Regions from separate parts of the Mus musculus genome. Here all the other regions are reported to be linked to region 3. Evidence: microRNA targets listed by miRTarBase, many of them from high-throughput screens and not tested one by one. Region 3 holds a microRNA gene; each other region holds the end of a gene's coding sequence.
Evidence for each region. The annotated mature microRNA mmu-miR-665-3p reads ACCAGGAGGCUGAGGUCCCU and lies in region 3 at 1,188-1,207, opposite strand. An mRNA with a match to its seed (bases 2 to 7 or 8) in the 3' UTR can be bound and repressed. Matches are read on the target gene's strand: a 7mer-m8 pairs with bases 2 to 8, a 7mer-A1 pairs with bases 2 to 7 and ends in A, and an 8mer does both.

Region 1: the mRNA of Tor1aip2 is a reported target of mmu-miR-665-3p. Seed matches in the 3' UTR shown: 7mer-A1 at 789-795.
Region 2: miRTarBase lists Ttc26 as a target of mmu-miR-665-3p. Seed matches in the 3' UTR shown: 7mer-A1 at 669-675, 7mer-m8 at 883-889 and 7mer-m8 at 2,191-2,197.
Region 4: miRTarBase lists Smtnl2 as a target of mmu-miR-665-3p. Seed matches in the 3' UTR shown: 7mer-A1 at 1,288-1,294 and 7mer-A1 at 1,507-1,513.
Region 5: the mRNA of Htr5a is a reported target of mmu-miR-665-3p. Seed matches in the 3' UTR shown: 7mer-A1 at 2,818-2,824 and 7mer-A1 at 1,658-1,664.

Annotation. Positions count from the first base shown.
Region 1 is chr1:156,065,154-156,069,220 of GRCm38, forward strand. Tor1aip2 (torsin A interacting protein 2) reads left to right here. Exons shown (of 7, transcript NM_172843.4): 7 at 1-3,708. The coding sequence ends at 305. Among named protein-coding and RNA genes, the nearest start is that of Tor1aip1, 31 kb to the left of the region's middle.
Region 2 is chr6:38,424,945-38,429,011 of GRCm38, forward strand. It overlaps Ttc26 (tetratricopeptide repeat domain 26), which reads left to right. Exons shown (of 18, transcript NM_153600.2): 18 at 184-2,703. The coding sequence ends at 295. Among named protein-coding and RNA genes, the nearest start is that of Ubn2, 6.9 kb to the right of the region's middle.
Region 3 is chr12:109,583,508-109,587,574 of GRCm38, reverse strand. It overlaps Mir665 (microRNA 665), which reads right to left and starts at 1,261; the gene lies at 1,168-1,261. It overlaps Mir337 (microRNA 337), which reads right to left and starts at 1,786; the gene lies at 1,690-1,786. Mir3544 (microRNA 3544) reads left to right here and starts at 1,702; the gene lies at 1,702-1,762. It overlaps Mir540 (microRNA 540), which reads right to left and starts at 1,495; the gene lies at 1,429-1,495. It also overlaps a transcript of Rtl1 not described here.
Region 4 is chr11:72,388,043-72,392,109 of GRCm38, reverse strand. It overlaps Smtnl2 (smoothelin-like 2), which reads left to right. Exons shown (of 8, transcript NM_177776.3): 8 at 697-1,996. The coding sequence ends at 823. It overlaps Mir6338 (microRNA 6338), which reads right to left and starts at 3,354; the gene lies at 3,246-3,354.
Region 5 is chr5:27,850,439-27,854,505 of GRCm38, reverse strand. It overlaps Htr5a (5-hydroxytryptamine (serotonin) receptor 5A), which reads right to left. Exons shown (of 2, transcript NM_008314.2): 2 at 1-3,752. The coding sequence ends at 3,420. Among named protein-coding and RNA genes, the nearest start is that of Htr5a, 11 kb to the right of the region's middle.

The DNA of each region.
Region 1 (4,067 bases), not on the chromosome of region 3:
TTCCTGCCGGCTCCACCCTGATCTTCTACAAGTACTGTGACCATGAGAACGCCGCCTTTAAAGATGTGGCACTTGTCCTGACAGTCCTGCTGGAGGAGGAAACGTTAGAAGCAAGTGTAAGCCCCAGGGAAATAGAAGAAAAGGTGAGGGATTTACTCTGGGCTAAGTTCACCAACTCTGAGAGCCCCACCTCCTACAGCCACATGGACTCAGACAAACTGAGTGGGCTCTGGAGCCGCATCTCCCACCTGGTGCTGCCCGTCCAGCCCGTCAGGAACATAGAAGAGCGAGGCTGCCTTTTGTGAAGCCAGTCACAGAGGTGACATGGAAGGGCCATGTCTCAGGGCTCTGTCCCGCTAGGAGGTGACTGGCATGTGAGAGGAAACAGCTGGGAGGCCGTCACTGTGTTAGAAAAGAAGCTTTTTTTCTTTGACTTTTAAAAAATCTTTCTAGTCTGAACTTTGATAAAACTAACAATTGGCCTGATGTTTTTCTTTGTTTTTTAAAGCCAATCAGGGTTAAAATACAACATGATGTATTGTTTAAGTGTCCAGCACATCAGTAGAATAGAATTGTTTTGCACAGGAAGATCTGATTCTCCGGGGAACTGCAGCCCCACTGCTGCCTGCAAGGACTCTCACCAGCCTCTAGGGCAGTGCTTGGACCTGGACGAGGTGTCATGTAAATGATTTTAGAGAACTCTTCTACTACATATTAAGTGCTTTTTAATATTCACTTTTTTTTGTTGTTTTTTTCTGAGGCAGGGTTTCTCTGTGTAGCTCTGGCTGTCCTGGAACTCACTTTGTAGACCAGGCTGGCCTCGAACTCAGAAATCTGCCTGCCTCTGCCTCCTAAGTGCTGGGGTTAAAGGCGTGCAGCATCACTGCCTGGCCTTAATACTCACTTTAATAATACACTTGTGGGTTGATTGTGTCTTACACAGATTTGCACTTTGAGTAGGTGAAAACAGAAAACTAGAATTCAACCCTCCAAACCTACCTAAGAGCCTGGTGTGTGTGTGCTTCTGTTCCGTTAGTGAGCTGAGGCCAGAACAGCTGTGCTCAAAAAAGAACCTTCCCAAGCATTGGACTCAATGACGAAATTGTTAGTAATCACCAGAAATGAAAAAATCCCCCTTGGCCATGTCACTTGTCTTTGCCTACCCAGCAGCCCCTCCTTCCTGTGAATCATGCCTGCTCTTGGCTGCTGGGTTTGGGGTTCTCTGTTAGGATTTCAGTGGAGCTGAGTTTCACAGAGAAGTTTGAAAGCCATTGATGAAGTGAAAGTGCATTCTAGAGTAGGAAGGATAGGAAGACATGAAAGGGTTAAAGCTGAGGAGTAACAGGAAGTTCTGTTGTTCAGGGCGACAGAGACCTGCAGATGAGCTGCTACTGGAGGGTGTAGGGCAGGGCCGTGAGCTTTTGTCCCTTTCTGTGGATCTTTCCTGTCCTCCCCTGCTGGAATCTCACTGTTGTCTGTGTTCTTTCAGAAAAGACTTGAGGTCCTCAGCTAGTTAGAAATGCCGTCAGGAAAGGAACTTGATAAACACAAGGGGAAGGTCTCCTGTAGGGAACAGAAAGAGGAATCATGGCCAATATCCGTTGTTAAGCTACATCCCATGATTTCAGACTGGGGCCAATAAGCTGTTAATCAGTACGTGAACTCTGAAAGTAAAACTCTAGTAAAATGATCTTGACCCACAAAAGGTCTGTTCCTTTACATGGATGGGAAAAGCCCTTGGAATCTTGCACTCAGTTTTGGGTCATCTGCTGCTAAGAGATCATGTATACACTTAAGACATTAAGCAACCTGAGTCTAAAGGGATTTTAGGAAACACTAAGAAGATGTCTATTGGTAGTTAAATGGATCACAGAGACACGGGTGAGAGGTGATCTGAAAATATTTCCCACAAGATGGCTTTGGCCACAACCTTTGGTGTTAAGTAAGTTAAGTATGGGGGCACACATGAAACAGTATGTATTTGGGATTTTGAAGGAATCCTGATATAGATTTCAGAAAAGACCCTACACAAAGTTTAAGCATAGTGAATGGAATTTTTCTGTCAACTCATTGTAAAACACAGGGATTGAAGAAAAATCCATTTGCCATTTTTGAATTTTTTTTCTTCTGTATTTCTAGACTTATTTGTTTTGAATGCTAGTGGCTTGTCACATAGCCATGTCTGGCCTGGTGTTTACTCTGTAGCATAGGCTGACTTTGAACTTAGAGTAATTTCTCCTACCTCCGTGTGCTGAGTGCCGAGGCTACAGGTGTGTGCCATCATATCCAACTTTCATGTAAGCTCTTAGCCACTAGCATTACATCGCGTAAAACCACATCAAATCGCGTCAAAAGGTGCCTTGCAGACTGTCATGTTGGCCTTTGACCCATGCTACCTCAGACTCTAGAGGAATGTCTACAGTATTTGTGCACAGTCTATGTCAGTGGCTCAGATCACAAGTGGAAAGCAATCGTTTCCTCATTAAAACTATGTAAAACGACAGCCTTACATAGTTTCCTGTCAACACAAATTTAGGATATAATACATTTTAGAAATTTATTATTTTTCAATTATTTTTGGTTTTTTTACTACTTACCTTGTAAAAATACACTTTTCCTTTTGTCATAAGTGCAATCAGCTGAGTGAGACTTGTCAGTTGTTGTTGCTTTTTTTTTTTCTATCCTCTGTTTCAAAACTCAGGGCCTTAACATTCAAGGAAAGTGCCCTACCACTAACCTATATCCCAGACCTCTTAAAAGTCATTTTGAAAAGAAGCAGTATGTTAGTTTGGGGTCAGAACAAGTAATTTTCTGGTTTTGATACCGAGTCTCTACACAGTCCAAAGTAATGATTCTCAAGCCTCGGGCTCTTACAGGATGGGATTACGGTAGTGTGCCGCCACACCAGCCTATTATCCCGTGTACTGTCTTCTAGACCATTGCTTTTCATATTCAGTTTTCCAGCCTTTTATGTGTGTTGTAATTCTTTGTGATAATTTGCCTGTGTGTGTATGTTTTTTATTGGTGGTGGGGTTTTTTTTGTTTGTTTTTAACTAGGAATCCCTTCTTGAGTAATACCAAGTCTTAGAAGCAAGCAGGGGAAATAGAAACTGTCTTTAGACTTGGGTCTTTCTTTCCCTTTCAGGTAAAATTTAGGGTTCTTCTGGGCACCACTCAGAGATTGTCAGAAAAGCTCTAGAGAGTTCTTAACACTGAACTAATTTTAGTAACTTTTACCTGGAAGTCCGCAGGCTTAGGGGGAGTAGTGAGGCTCAGTACCCTTCCCATTGGCTTATGTGCCCCACCCCCACCCCCAATCACTGTGGCTGATGGTACAGCTTTGTCTCACAGCCTTTGGTCCACAGTCTTGTTAAAGACAGGAGCACTGTGAGCACGGATGTTGGCTATGACAGACAGATGCAGCCTGTGAACACGAGAGTAGTGCAGCAAAAATGATTTTCACCAACACTCTTACTTTCTCTAACAAAGATTTCTTAACCCCATAGAGTTTTGCCTTTATATATTTACAAATGTAATGGCTTGTCAAACTTACCAAATCACCATAACTGCTTTTTGCATTCATTTCCATAGTGATGATGTTGAATGTGCCTTATTCAAATCAATTGTCTGATTACTATACAATAAATCTCTTCAATTTTTCCTGACTGATTTTTTACTAAAATTTCCAAAATAAAGAATTTATGAAAATGGGTGTGCGGTTGTTAGTGGTGGGAAGAGTCAAAAGGATTCTGAAGCATCGGGTGGTGTTGCGGCTGTCAGGGACGAGGGGCCATGCAGGCGGTGTGCTGGACTCCTCCACCACCCTTGGCAGTGGCTGTGGGGCATTTACCCCCACCTGGCTCTCTCTTGACCAGGGGAAGAGTGAGCACAGCCTTGGGAGTGGTCCAAACATGAGGCTTGCTGACTGGGGATGTATTAAGTGTGGGTGGGGTGTCCAGCATCTTGTATGTTGGAAAGTAGGAAGGTGGTTTGTATTTAAAACTCGAATTTAGAGGCTCAAGAGATGGCTTAATAAAGTGCACAAACCTGAGGAGCAGAAATTGGAT
Region 2 (4,067 bases), not on the chromosome of region 3:
AACCCTTTTTGAGCAAATATGTGGAAGAAGCAACCCATTGTCATGGCTTAGAAAAGTAGCAGCTTTGAAATGCCCAGTGGAGGGTCCATGAGCACAGACACCTCATTGCAATATAGTACTATGTCGTGAGATCGCTAGTTTTTCTTTATTAAAAAAAATGTGTTCTCTAAAACCTTTCCTCAGAGAGACCCTCCGAGAAGTGCTGCATTTACTGAGAAGCACAGGAAACACCCAAGTGGAGTATATCATCAGGATCATGAAGAAGTGGGCCAAGGAGAATAGAGTGCCCATCTAAGCAGCCAAACCCTAGGCCAGGACCAGCTTCCTCTCACGTCAAATTGGAACTGTTTTCTTGCACTTGAATATGCAATCCAGGACCCTGCTTGATTGACATTTCTTTCCTTGCTCTTAGAGCATTAGGATGAGTGGGTGGTATGTGTGGACTTAGGCATCAGGCAACAGGAATCTCCCTGGCCTGCTGACACCCAATGTAATCTACTGGTGCCTTTCTTCCATAATCATTCTGAACACTATTCTGTAATTTACTGGCTTTAGGAATAGATACTAGTTTTGTTTTTCTTTCTCTGTTAGCATTTCAGGACATATCTTTTTTCTTCTTCTTTTTTTTTTTTTTCTGAGACAGGGTTTCTCTGTATAAGCCCTGCCTGTCCTGGAACTCACTTTGTAGACCAGGCTGGCCTCGAACTCAGAAATCCACCTGCCTCTGCCTCCTGAGTGCTGGGATTAAAGGCGTGTGCCACCATGCCCGGCAGGACATTTTCTCCTACCTGCAGTAACAAGTACCTTTATACTAGAGAATTGCCATCATTTGATCATATTCCATCATTTTGTACATTAGCCCATCCATGACTACATCTCTGACTCCTGGGAGACGTCTTTCTGAGCTGTGTGATTCTGAGGATGGCCATGAGGCCCTCTACCAAACAGCAGTCAGTAGTAGTTAGTTAGCTTATGAGACCACTCTCTGTGAGTAGCTTGTTACGTTGAGACAAGCTGAGTATATGGTTTTAAAAAGGTGAGTGAAAGGAAAAACTTGGCATCTCTGAAGGTGTGTAAGTCTCAGAGTTAGGTCTCCCTTGTATTTTAGGAAACAAAGCCAGGGCAGGGTTCTTACTATCTTCTGAATGAACAGCAATTTTGAACATAGGACTGGGAAAGTTTTCATGAAATATATATATATGTATATTTTTTCTGAGACAGGGTTTCTCTGTGTAGCCTTGGCTGTCATGGAACTCACTCTGTAGACTAGGCTGGCCTTGAACTCGGAGATCCGCCTGCCTCTGCCTCCCGAGTGCTCGTATCAAAGATGTGTGCACCACTGCTCAGCATACGTACCTGTTTATATTGCGCACACATGAACACATCGTAGGGATTTATTGATACAAGTATAAAGCAGGTCCTTTGAAGAGACCTCCTAATGGCTAGCCTCTCCATCATATCTCAGCCTCGTGTCTCTGAGCTGTCATCACATAAACTTCTTTTTTCTACAACAAAGTATTGTCAGGCTTCCATCCTACTTTCAGAAAACAGACATACATCTTTTTGTGTATCAGATTACCTGCTTGTTTGTATGCTCTGTAATTTTCTTCTGTAGGTCTGAGGTACACAAGCTAGAACATACAGACCCATCCTCATAGAGCAGGGACTGCACAGAGGAGGAGGTGGAGGAATTTTTAGAAACACCATTAATTCTTCTTCCTTCCCAGCCTCCTGCTGCAGATGGCAGATGGGAGTTCTGCACAGAAAGGAGAGGGAAACCTGTACAGAGTAAAACAGCTGAAGCAACAGGACCAGAGGCTGAACACAGCCTTCATCTCTAGCCAGTCCCAAGGTGTTCCTCAGCTCTGTATCTCTGAGTCCTGGGACAAGTCTTCCCGAGAAGATGGCCAGTGTGCCATCTTTTACATTAGGATCAGATATGATTGGGCCAAAGCACAAAACACAGTACTGGTCTAACAGAACTGCAGGAAACAAAACTGCACCATTTCCTTATGCCAGAGCTTCTTGTCTTGTTCTGGTGTTCCCTCTTTTTCAGTAGCACCTGGTTCTCTTTGCCAAAGGTACTAGGTGGATCAGATATGACTAAACCTGCTATAGTTCTGTGAATCATTCTTATGAAACTTATTTTGCTTTAAATACTTGGAAGCAAAAGAGTGGGATGCAGATCAACTCCTGGGAGCTGTTGACATCTTCAGTGACACACTGTTCAGTTCCAGCTTCCTGAAAGACACTCATTCACAGTCATGGACTTCCCAGTGAGACATTGTGAGTTTACTACTTAGTAGTCTCTGACATTTTCCTTGAGAGAAGACGGTCTGTCCCCAACAGCAGAATTTTAGATTACTGTTAAAAGTTTTTAATCTACAGGATTGAGACAGAAACATGAAGGCTTGTTAAAGAGAAGCACATTCAATTCTGTTAGGAGGGATAATTGTTTCTGATTGTCTTGACAGGGCATCAAGTTCGTACTGTGTTCTCTCACAGATGACAGCCTGGAAAAGAAGGGCTTGGCTGGGGAATGTGTAATTTATACAGTCTATCATAGCAATGTACTATTTAAAAATAGTCTGTAGTGTATACTTAAAAATGGAAAAAACACTTTTACAACTATTTTTGTACAACAAAAGAATCACATACCACTGTACTATATTTAAATTAAAATTTATTTTTTGGTTTTTGTCATGTGTGTTCATGTTTATGCAGCTGTGTTCACGTGTAGAGGTTAGAGGTCAAACTGAGTGTCTTATCTCTTTCCACCTTATATTTTATGAAACATGCCTGGAAAGTTAAGGTATATGCATATGCTAGATACCATGACTACACATTTGCCAAATCTAGTGGAATTATATTTAAAATAAGGGGCTTAGGAGCATTTAATACAGGTTTTGTTTGTTTATTTGGTTGGTTTTTCAAGACAGGATTTCTCTGTGTAGCCCTGGCTATCTTGGCGCTCAGACAGTAGACCTGGTTGACCTCGAACTCCTCTGACTTCTGCCTTTGCCTCCTGAGTGCTGGGATTAAAGCTGAGCACCACCCCCATGAGGCAGAACATAGTTATTTTTTTAAGCCTGGTAAGATGGCACCACAGATAAAGGTTCTTGCTCTAAAGCAGTGCTTCTCAACCTTCCTAATGCTGCAACCCTTTAATACAGTTCCTCGTGTTGTGCTGACCCCCAACCATTTTTTTTTTTTTGCTGCTACTTCTAATTTTGCTACTGTTATGAATCATAATGCAAAGATCTGTGTTTTCCAATAGTCTTAGATGACTCCTGTGAAAGGGTTGTTTGACCTCCAAAAGGGGTCAAAACTCACAGGTGGAGAAGCACTTTTGTAAAACCTGGTGGGTGTCCTGAGTTCAATCCCTGGAATTCAATGGAAGAAGGTAGGGGAGAACTGACTCTATAAAGCTGTGCTCTGACCTGCACATACACATGTGTACATATGGAGATACAGACAGCAATAATGTTTAAATAGTGAATAGAAAGTAAAAAGAAAAGACTTAGCTTCCAAGAGTATATGCTCCTGTGATGACTACTACTACTTAGGGAATAACATTAACATCGTGGATAAGATCCAAAGAAACTGAAAATTAAGGTCATTTTAACTTTACCTCATTGCACAACAATACAAAGCGTTTAAATTATCAGAAAAACCTATACAAAAATGAAGCAAGTAGACAATATGAAGGGGTTTTTGAAAGATGTATAGGAGAAAGCATGACAGACGAATGCCTCTGCTCAAACTTACCTCTTGTCCAAACCTGTATATGGGCTTATGTCATCCATTAAAGCAACGAGACTGATGGATTGGATCACAAAGTAAAATCCAAGGCTGGGCTGCTTGCTCTTACTGAGAACAAAGTAATTCGTGATCATTAAAGTGAGAAGACGAGTGGCAGTGCAACTGGGAAAATGCAAATAGAGAGAGAGCAGGTGCCATAATCAAACAAGGTTGGATTCAGGTCAAAGTCATTAAGCAGGCCACAGAGACACACTTGGAATGACAGAAGCTCTGTTTCCTGATGAACACAATGGTTATGAACATGC
Region 3 (4,067 bases):
CCGCAGGCCTACCAATCTACCCAGCAGGGATTTGTCCCCATTAACAGCAAAAGGAGGTGGTCCGGACTGTGAAGAGAGCTGGTGACGTGCTAAAACGTGCTAAAACGGTAGGTTATCAGGTTATCGGCGGAGCCACTTATAGAGATTGAAAAACACAACACAAACCTTTTTTTTTCTCCTGGGGAAGAGAAAAGAAAAGAAAGAAATTGGTGTGAAAGTTCCTGCTAGGGGATGATAACATCACTTCCAACCCTGTCAAGGTGAAAACCAGAGGCCAGGCCCTGGCTGCAGACTCCACCCACCAAGGAGCTGCCCCCACTTCCCAGCTTCAGTCCCCAACCAGAGAGCTCTGACAGCATCCAGGAACAAAGAGGAGCAGGGGCCCTCCCTTGCCCACCTTCCCTGTCCTCTCCATTGCTTCCCCTTATAAGATGTCCCTGCAGGTACCAGAGCCAGTGACAGCACACACACAGGACCCTGAGTCCAGAGTTTTACCAGCTCCTCACCAGGCTGGAGCAGAGATCTCCACATGCCTGGGTAACCTGGGCTAACTTGGGCTACCCCCATAGTAAGAAAAGGAAAAGAAAATATTACCCACCCCTCAACTGTCCCATACACCTTAAGCCCTGGTGCTGGGCCCAGGGGACCACATCGTTAGACACGATCTGAGACCTGAGCAGCAAACCTCATCTGGACTTTGATCCACCTGTGTGAGCTGAGAGACACGCATGACCATCTTGCCACCAAGACCGTGCAGGAGCACAAGTAGGAAGAAGGAGATTGGGGGCAGAGGGGGGGACAGGGAAGGGAGAGACAGTGGTGAAGGGGAGGGGGACTGGGTGTGGCCTGGGTCCTCCCTGTCCTGCCCTCAAATCCTTTCACAGCTTCCAGGCTATTCACTCAGGGTGCTCCTGTGTGCCGGGGCTGGCTGCCATAGCTGGTAAATGCAGTTAATAATGGTGGTGTTGTGGGGATGGAGATGGGCCCTGTATGCATGCAATGACCTAGGTATTGGGGTTCAGACTCTACGCCAGCTGCTCATTGTGCTACTGAAGTGTCTGTGGGCACCCGGCCTGGGAGGAGGATGAACAGGGATCTTCTGCACTCCTTAGGGGATCCAGAGTTTGAACTGAATGAGGTGAGACGTCTCCAGAAGGGCTCAAGGAGAGAGTAAGAGGCCGCCTGTAAGGGACCTCAGCCTCCTGGTCATAAAAACATAATCCTGGATAGAGGCAGAGGCCCCTCAAGGAGACCCTGTTCTGGGAGCACTGGTAATGCTCAGCCCTGCCCTGTCTCAGCCCTGTGCCCTGCTCTAGTAACAAAGACCCCATCTCTCAAGGATCCACCCTTTCTGCTAGGAGCTGGGTCCCCTCAGAGGACCTCCAGGAGAGAACGGCTCCTGGAATCCCAGTGGGAGGAGCCCCAGAGTAGGCCCAGGATCGACCTCTGACCTGTCTACCCTTGGCCACAGAGTCAGAGGGTGACCCTTGGCCCAGCCCCAGGGAATGTCCCACCAGGGGTATAGCTCCCCCGCCAAGGAATGATCTCAGGTATGGCCCAGCCCCGGGTATTCCCCTCCAGGAACTGTGGAGAATGGCGAGAAAGCATGCCAGGGGAAAAGAGCGAGCTGAAGACGCGTCCCTAAGCGGCCCAAGGTGCGCGGAGGAGGGTCCGGAGGCCTCACGCGGTTGAAGGGGGTGAAGAAAGGCATCATATAGGAGCTGAATGGCTGTGCAATCAACTCCTGCATGACGCCGTTCCCACCCCCCAACTTCTCACTACACTGGGACCCTCCTCTCCTGAAAAAGCAAGGCAAGAAGCACAGACAACAGGTAGGACAGACTCCCAGGGCTTAGTGTTAGAGGAAGGAAACCAAAGGCCAGCCAGCCCTAGGGCACCTGCAGCACAGTGGAAGCATCTACCCTCCTTGCCCAACCTCACTTCTTATAAACTCTCATGGAGTGACTGGAGCCAATCCAGGGGATGAGGAGGGGGGAGAGGGAGCAGAGGGATGGGAGGGAGAGAGGAGGGGCAAGGGAGCACTGAAGGAGGGGTGGGGAAGCGGAGAGGGAAGGAAGGGTGACTGTGGTCACAGGAGTGTCCTGCTAAGGTCCATCCCGAGTATCCAGTGGGTTCCTCTGCAGACCTAGAAGGGACTCATGGGAACCAGCAGGAGCTTAGACGCCCCAGATGGATCCCCCAAAAAGATGCATGGGTTAAAAGCTACTCAGTGTGGTGAGGGGACAAACTGCAGGTACAGCTAACAACCGCTCCCCAGGTTCTTTGAGTGTCAACTTGAGTTACACTCCTCCATGAATAACTAAAAACCACAAACTGCTTTTGCTTGCCTGTTAGTTTTTTTGTTTGTTTGTTTGTTTTTGAAACAGGATCTGTGTAATCCAGAGTGGATCCCGACTTCTCCATCTTCCTGCCTCAGGCTTCCAAGTGTGGCTATGATTGACAGGCCTCTGTCACCATGGCCAGCTTGAATGGCACATGTGTATCACCTTACATATGAATAAAGTAAAAAAAAAAAATCTTTCCTGACTTGTGCTCTTCTCTTCCTTGTCTGGCACACCCACCAACTGCCAACAAACACTTGTCCCAGCATAGTCTCAGAGAGCAGGGTATAAAGAGGTAGTATGGGGGTGGGAGGGAGTAGTAAGGATGGGAGGCCAGAAGACAGGTGAACACAGGTGGGGAAGGGAGGACTCGGTGTTAAGCCAGGGAGGAAGGGAGCTGCACACGACATGTGAATGACAAAGGGTTAAGGCAGCTCAATGCTGTGGTAAGATGCTGCAGATGTCAGTGGGGCAGGGGAGAGAGAGAAGGGGGGCTCAGGGCAGCATGTGGAACACAGCTGCACATCATCCAGGGCAGAAGAGGGTTGCAAAGGGACATGTATGTGTATGGGAGCATAGGGACATGGCTCACGGGAAGCAGGAGGGTCTCAGGGTGACGTATGTCACAAGGGAGAGATGAAGGATATGATATCCCACGCAAAGAGGGGGTCTTCATGTCATAAAGAAAAGAACAGGGACATCCCATGATGCCTACCTACACAGGGGGGTGTCAGTAACATATGGAGAGATTAAGGGATTAAATCTAGCGGATGGGGAGTGGTCCAAGGCTATACATGGGGGAGAGAATCCATGGTACAGGGGAGAAAAAATGTAAATGTGATGTGCAGAGGAGGGGTAACATGACACATAAAAAGAGGAGGGGCTCAGTATGACTCTTGTACAGGAGAGCCTATGACTCCTGAGAAAGAGACTGGGCTGCATGTGGGACATAAGGAGGAGGGGCTCTGATAGAGGAAATAGGGGCTCGGTGTGACATCTGTCAAGGAAAGTGTTCATCACAAGTGGGGAGAAGGACTAGATGTGACACCTATGAGTTGCTTTGTGACCTGGAGGACATGCACGTCACAGTGTGGTATGTGTAGAGGCAGAGCGCTCCATGTCACAAGGCAAGGGGTGGATGTCTCAACGTGCTGCGTGCAGAGGTGGGGCTTCCCAACATGAAGAGAGAGCGAGAGGAGAAGAGTTCCGTGTACCGCATCTGGAGCACCAGCAGGGTTTGTGGTGACTAAAAGGAACGAGGGCTATGGGACACATGATTTAGGGGCCCTCTCACGATGGAGGAGCTCAGAGTCAGGGAGGGGCCTAAGGTGAATGGGGAGTAAGTGGGATGAAGCTCGGGTGCACAGGGCACACGGGTGGGGCTAGGCTAAGCATGACACACGTGGGGAGAGGTGTTCTCTCTCTAGGACACATGGGTAGAACTCAGGTGACCACGACAGGTGTGAGAGGGGGCATACAGAACGTAGGAAGGGTTAGGCTAAGCATGACACATGTAGAGGAATGGTGCTCTTCAGGACATATGGGTGGAGCTAGGCAAAGCGTGCCCCATTATGGAATTTTCTCTTTAAGACACATGGCTGACAATAGCCTAACCCTAACACAGGATGACAAGAGGAGAGGACTCAGTGTGAGGCCAGCAATAAGACATAAGAAATGTTAACACATGAACACAGAGGGTCTTGGAAGTGCAGCCTGATGGGAGGG
Region 4 (4,067 bases), not on the chromosome of region 3:
GTAAATGTTCTTAACTGCTGAGCCATCTCTCCATCTCCTGTTTTGTTTGTTTGTTTGTATTTTAAGTTTAAAAAATATTTCAGAGCTGGGCATGAAGGTACATGATCATAATCCCGTCATTTTATGAGACCAAGTCAGGAGAATCATGAGTTTAGGACTATGCTGGGCTATACAGCAAATTCCCACCTCAAAAACACAAAACTAGCTGGGCTGTGGTGGCACATGCCTTTAATCCCAGCACTGGGAGGCAGAGGCTGTTCATCTCTGTGAGTTTGAAGCTGGCTGGTCTACAGAGCAAGTACCAGGACAGACAAGGCTTCACACAGAGAACAAACAATAAAATAAAATAAAAACCAAGCATACAGTGAGAGGAAGCAGATGGGTGAAGTTATCATTTTGCCTCAATTTTACATTTGCTTTCACAGTTCTTGCCAATTGTCACGAGATATTGACTTGTGTCATCTCTTTACTTCCGTGTGAACTGCTTACGTGGTTTGTGTCTGTGGGAGTCTGGGCAACGCCCCACGGACTCAGCAGCTCCCAGGGTTCTCTTGGAGACCTTGAATTCCCTTCTGGTGTGCACTTGAGCACCACAGACTCAAGGCGAATTGAGTTTGGGGAGAGTGCTAATAGAAGCTCAGTTGTGGCACTGGTTATTCACGAGGACCATGTGTTGATGGGGCTTCTGTGTTTCAGGAATCTGGCCAACTGTGAGCGCCTCATTGAAGTGGAGGATATGATGGTGATGGGCCGCAAGCCGGACCCCATGTGTGTCTTCACCTATGTGCAGTCGCTCTACAACCACCTTCGTCGCTTTGAGTAAAGCCGGCGGCCCGGAGTGGCCAGGAAGAGACTCTGAGGTCCCTCACGTTCCCCCCATGGCAGCATGATCCACACGAGGGAAGCTGCCTCTCTGGTGTGAGCTGCTATTCGCTCTCTGGCGTGTGACCATGTGCCCCTCACACTCGTTACTGATTAAAAGTATTGATGAGGCTAAGCTGAGCCCCACAGTCCCTCCACAGGCTGGAAGGAGAAGGAAAAACTCCAGAGTCAAAAGAAATTGGTGCTAAGTTATGATCTTCCTACAGGGAGCGCTCATGGTTTCCCTCTGGTGAATTTGATATATTGGCTTGACAGGGTTCCACTGATTATCAAGCTTTCTTTCTTTTTTCCTATCAAAGTACCCAGAGGTTGTTTTTGTTTTTTTAACTTCCTCACACTCTCTCTTTTTTTTTTTGTTTTGTTTTTGGTTTTTCGAGACAGGGTTTCTCTTTATAGCCCTGGCTGTCCTGGAACTCACTTTGTAGACCAGGCTGGCCTTGAACTCAGAAATCCGCCTGCTTCTGCCTCCCAAGTGCTGGGATTAAAGGCGTGCGCCACCACCACCCCTCTGGGCCATTGCCAAGAAACAGTCTCTAGTTCTTGGGAAGAAACAGCTTAGTCAGCCCCAGGTCCTATCTTCCTATCATCTCTTCTCTGTGGGGAGGTGGCAGGATTTCTACCTAGTCCTGGACGGGCTTCTGGTACTCACAGGAGACCCCACAAGTGTCCAGCTAAGGAATGGTTACCTGAGCAGTAACTGAGCAGGAGCAAGGATAGGTCCTTAGGGATGAGAGAGTTCCCATTTGCTCCAGGTATTTATAGAAAAGGATTGCATCTGTACCATTGACCTGTTTGTACACATGTGACCTGTTTGTAAGATGTGGTGGCACTCTTCGCTTGGGTTTGTTATTTCTGTGTGGGAAATGGGAGGAGGGTTGGGCAATAAGAGACGGCATAGATTTAAACAGAGATCTACTGAAATCATACCTTTATTGTTTATGTATTTAAAACCACTTGCCTGGGAGGCTGAAAGCGGCATTTGCTGTCTACCAATGTGCTTGTCCCTCAGCCATCTCTATGTTGTTGAAGGATTGTGAACAGAAAATTTACCCCCTGCCCATCTATCCCTTAGATATTGGCAAATATATTATGATAAAAAGTGGCCCAAAGTTGATGACTTTGAGTGATCATTGTTTTTGGGGTGTGTGTGTGCACGCGAGTGCGTGTTTCTTTCATTTATTTGTATACAATGCAAGGGGTTGGGAATAGAACCCATGTTCTCTAATATGCAAGCAAGCTCTCACCACTGAGGCCCACCTCCTGCCCCTGCCCCTGGGGTGGTCTCTTTCATGGAAGCCCATCAAGGAGTGCTGGTTTAATTTCACAGCTGTTTGGCAGTGGAGTTTGAATAGAAAAACCATGAGAGTCCACAAAGCTGCAGCTCTTCGCTTATTCCTCCCCAAGACTGAAGATTCATTTTAGAATTGAGTTGGATGTTAGCCAGAGACTTTTAAAACCTCCCTTGAAGGACCTAATATGGGCACTTTATTTCATGTAACCCCCTCTGAGTGGGGTCAGCCCTGTGTCCGAGGTGTTGGGAGCTTAGGACAGAATGTCCTCAGGGATCCTGGGCTCTATGACAGAGCTTGCAGGTGGTTTGAGCATTTTCAGTGGCTCTGTTTGCTCAGGCTGTGGCCTTGGTCCATCTTTTGGGTTTTCCCACAGTGGGAGCCGTTCCCTTCCTGGCTCTCTCAACATTTGTAGGCTTGGAGAGCCCTATTCTTAGCAGAGACACATACTGGGGCTTAGGGTTTCAAACTTAAAGCCAATAAGGGCACACTAGGGCTCTATAAACAGCGTGCCTATATGTCACTGAGTAGTTGCACATGGCAAAGCATGCTCTCCTGAGTGGCAGACATGGATTTCTGCCTCTGCACATAAAATATAGCAGGTCTTACTGGATGAGGAATTGCTTCTCTTAAACTGTAGGAACGGTGTCCCTTGTGTCCCGCCTTCAGAACATTACAGACTAGATAGGTTTAGGGTTGGCTCTGTGATGTTCTTGTTTACAATTGTGTGTATGCAAGTGTGTGTTTGATGTAGAATTAAAAGTAATGTTTTGGCCCAGGTGTGGTGGTACTCATTTGTAATTCAGCAGTCAGGAGATGGAGAAAGAAGATTTTAGTTTCCATCCACCTTGAGCTACAGCACAAGAACATGTCTCAAAGAAGGGAAGAGGTATTTTAAAGTTGATTACATCCAAGACCAAGTGTGAGGTGTCAGGGGATGGAGGGAAATGGAAAGTCTTTCAACCTCAAGACTTTTTGAGATTTTATTTCTATAGAATATGTTTCTATATTGCATTTTGAATACATACATATATATGTATGCATATATATTCTACTTTCTTTTCTCCCCCCTCCCCCTGCATCATACATTCTCCCTTCTACTTTCATTTAACATGTACACATATGGTTTTATGTGACTATATAAAACTCAGTAAGCACAAATGAGAGAAACCAGGATACTGGAGCCAGGCATCTTCCGACCGGATTATACGAGAGCTCTCCATTCGTGGAGTTTGAATCCTGGTTGCTCTTTTACTGTGGTGGTGCAAGGTTTTGCATCCCGTTTCCTTTCCTGAGTGATTTCCTGGAGCTGTTCATAAGAATCTTCTGGGGTTTTCCAGATAGAGCCCCTCACCTGGATTTCGTTAGAGCTTATTAAATCTCATCAAATAGCCTTATGCGTTTCCCTGATGGGATCATTTCTCCAGAGCCAAGATGGGGTTTCATTTTTCTGTCAGCTGCTGGTGTTTTTCCATGCAAGTGGGAGCCTATAAGCACTTTCTGAATATGATATAGCATGCGCTGGTCAGAGGAGACCATGCAGGCCAGGTGTGTGTGGGGAACAGTTTGTTAAAGCCAATGCGTTTCACAAATGTGTTCCATGATGAAAGGTTCTCAGCTTTCCCATTGGCGGTGGTCAGACTCCGTAACTGGAGGAGACCGGAGTGAGGGAACACTTTATTTCTGCCATTATGATCTGTTGATGTGACTGCAAGCAACTTGAGAGAAGGGTGAAAATGCTGACTTGGCACACCTGTTCATGGCGCTGCTCCTGCAGATAGGTTTCTCCAGTTGGTGACAGTGGGGCTTCATCCTGGTGACATCATACCCACTCGAGTGGCCTGCTTGGTTCCCACCTTTTCTCTCCTAGCTCTACACTCATATCTTCGAGATTGA
Region 5 (4,067 bases), not on the chromosome of region 3:
CCAGGGGATTTGGTGCCCTCTTCTGGATTACACAAGTACTGCAAGTACATAATTCATGCACATGTAGACAATCATACAAATAAAATAAAAACTAGAGGTTAAAAAAAATCACTGTATTTATTATTTTAAAATTATATGTACATGTGTGTAGGTTTGCACATGTGTGCATGCCTGTAGGCAGCTGCTCAGGCCAGAGATATCAGATCCCCTAGAGACGGTGTTACATGTGGTTATGCGTTGCCTAATGTGGTGCTGAGGAAAGATAGAATCCAGGTCACCTGCAAGAGCAGGATGTGCTCATAGCCACTGAGCTGTCATTTTAGCTTCAAACAAACCTTTAAGGAAAAACAGGTAAATATTGAAGGATGGGACTGGATGAGAAACCCCATCAGAAATTTTAGATAGACAGACATGGTACAGTTTACACTGGAGTCCGTATGCGGTGTCCATTCCTTCTCTTGTGGGCACTCAACAAACACATCCTCATTATAACACTGAAAAGTCAAGTGATCCCCCTGGGTCCCAGTGATCCTGGGGACAGGAAATATGAGGAAGTAAGCGAGTCTATACTTTAAAGTACTTATGAGTCTAGTATGTGAACTAAGAAATACATGGAAGCAAAATAAAAATCTAAGGAAATCCCAAGTAAGTTCTCCACTGCATTGCTTTCATGCACAGACAGGAATCAACATGAAACATGTCCACAGTCATGAAGCTGGCTGTCGAACTCCTTTCATCAGTTCATATTCTGGTGTAAAGATTGTCTTTGCAGGAAATTCAAGATAACCTCATGTCAAAACCACAAAGAAATGATCACAAATTTTCTATTTTGGAATGTGGATGGATACAATTTATTATATACAATATAATATATCTGTGCCTTCATATATATATATATGTATATATATATATATATATAGTTTTGATTTGTGCATTTGTGAAATCAAGGACATGGAATATAATGGAGTTTTATTGCCCTAGAGTTTGGAGATATTTTGAATGATGGGTAAGCTGTTTGTTTTAAATTGAGGTGATATGGGCGAATGGTCCCATGTGGTGATAAAAGTGGTGTCGGTCGGTTGGGACCCTTCAGGTGGCAAGGATGGACTAAGTGCTGCTGTAAGTACTCAGCATACCAGGGTGGGCAGTCACTCTACTGCTGCTACAGAGGAGCACCCCGACTTTCCTTGGGTCTAGAGGCTCATCATAGTGAGTCCTCCAGGCTGAGCATAGGCAGTAAAGGACAGACAGACAGACAGTGCAGAGTTTGCAGTTAGAACATTCTATGTGCATCACTTTCCTAGGACTCAGAGTCAACAAAAAAACCAAGGCCAAAAAAAGAAAGAGAAAAAGCTCTTGTTGAAACCATTAATGAAACCTTGTTATGAGAACAGTCATGACAGTCTGGACGCATGAGTCCTTCGTTCTGTTCACTTTCCAGCCTGGCTCAGGCCAGTCCCCAGTGCACGGTGTGTGTCTAGTCTAGACCACTGCTCCAAGACAAAGGAGCTCAGAGAACTGGAGAATTTTTTTGTCTAAAAACCCTCTTGGTCTGGGTGTGGTAATACATACTTTTCCAGCATTCAGGAAACAGAGGCAGAGGTAGAGGCAGGAAGGTCTCTGTGAGTTTGAGATCAGCCTGGTCTATACAGTGGGTTCCAGGACAGCCAAGGCTACTTAGTACAGCCCTGGGTCAAACATAAATAAATGAACAGATAGTTACAACCTCATAAGGATGAAGTTGTCACATCACACTTCCAGCCAACTGCAGACACATGCCAACTCTCTGCAATGGCAGCATCGTCTGGGTGTGCTGAGAGCCCACTTCCTGGATGAGGATTCTTCAGCCAACGGCCCCTGGGTGGCTGTAAAAGCAAACCAGTGTTTCTCGCTGCTGGGATCTGAAGTGTGGGTGCTTTTGCTGAGAACCACATGCTAAGAGTTGTCCACAACCCTGTAGGTCCTGATAGCTCTATCTTCAGTTTATGGGAGAAGTCAGCACAGACAGGGTTCTCAAAAGGTGACTGGCTCTGGCTCTTCTTTCCCTCCTTGGCTCTTTTGATAGTGTTCTCAGAGTTCCCTTGGGATAGCCTTGGAGGTAAGAGTGTGCCCAAGGTTTTCTGTGGCCGTATAAACACTGTGTCTTCCCTAGCCTGTCTTGACTCACCAGTCACACTGCCAACTTGATAGTGGCATCACTTGACCCGTGTCTGCCTATCTGGTCAAGTTCATACACCAACAAAACCATCACTATAAAATGGCCAGCACTCCTGTTCACTTCATGTGTCTGGTTGTCAGGTCCTTATATAGTCACCAACTATGAAACTCTATTTAAAAAATAGATAGCTCATGGCTGCTGTTAGCCTAAAATTTTAATATTTAAGAAAGAAACACTAAGGCTAGAAAAATTTAAAGAAATTAGACCAAGAAAACCCAATAGTAAATAAATAATTTTGATAAATTCTGTGAAATTGGTAGATTTTTCTATTTTTCATGAGCAATTGTTTCAAAATGGAAGGAAATATTTTGCTTTTCCAGTTGATGGACTGAGTTGATTTTAACTGGAAACTGTCCTTAGAGAGAGAGAGAGAGAGAGGGAGGGAGGGAGGGAGAGAGAGGAAACAGAGAAACAGAAACAGGGATAAAGACAGAGAGAGGGACAGACAGAGAGACAGACAGAGGGGGACTTTGTGTTTACAATGAACAAATGGTAAAGACAGGAATCACTGTGCATCACAAATGGGCTGGTGCTTTGATATGTTTGGGGACAGAATTTGTGATCAAATATTAGGAAGGACCCCATATTGGGACATACACTCCAGGACCACAGAGCAGAACTCTGAAATGAGGGCTGTTCTGGAAATTTTGCCCTTATGGGCTGCTGCTTTTCAAACAGTCTCTCCATTGCATTTGCTGTTGCTATATATGTTGTTAGATAGTTCGGGCTGGTTTTGAACTTACCATGTTAGCCCAGGTTGGCTCCAAATTTGAGCTCCTCCTGCCTTAGTCTCCTTGGTGCTAGGGTTACAGGTGTGTGTGATCCCCACTAGCCTTGTTCTTTCTGTCTTTCTCTGCCTGCCCCAGTTGTCTCACTTCCTCCCTCCTGATGTTCTAATCAAACTTCTCATGTCTCTGCTGGAGTGGAGTTGAAGGAGGAATGGGCACTTTGTGGGCCAGGTCCGTGGCTGCTGGTACAGAGTGAGGAAGAGTGCCCAGACATAAACCACCAGAGCCTTCAGGTGAATACAACTTCCAACACATGGTCATAGAACTGAAGTGAGCTGAGCTCTGATGTGACCCTGGTGCCCTTGGCAGATGGATCTTGTCCTCAAGACAGCTGGGCAGCCTGCAAAGGTTCATGGGACAATATAACCCACTGAGCTACAAGCTATGGGAAGAAGGCACTCCCATGTGGTCTCTCATTGTTGCTTGGAGAAGAAGACCTTGAAAGCACTGCTGTAGCTCCTGTTGAATGCTGTGTAGATGAGTGGGTTGAAGAAGGAATTAGAATAGCCCAACCACAGGAAGATGCTCTTCCAGATGGCAGGGACGTCCCAGGAACACAGGGGACTGATGAGCTCTGTGACGAAGAAAGGGAACCAGCAGAGCACAAACACTCCGATGAGGATGCCCACCATGAGGGCTGCCCTTTGCTCCTTCTGCTCCCTCCACGTATCCCCTTCTGTCTGGAAGGTGACGGTGGCATGGCGGACCGTGAACACCATCTGGGGATGTTGTGTAGCATTCTTCACCTGCAAGGCACAGACAGACACATTGTAAGGATATGCCACTTCACACTTGCCAGGTGGTGGCCAGACAGAACCCAGGTGTGGATGGGGGCCCCACAAACCATTCCAAAGGAAGTGTTGAGGCTTAGTTGGGGAATCCTGCACACTAGAGGGCATAGCAGTGAATGACAAGGCTGGGCTCTGCATCTTAGAAAGGAGAGGAAGCTACAGCACACAGAGTTCCATGCAAGTGAGTCCCTGTGGCTATCTGCTCTGCTGATGGCACAGCAAAAATAAATAGAATGTGGGGATGCCATGGTTAGTTGTAACTGTCAACTT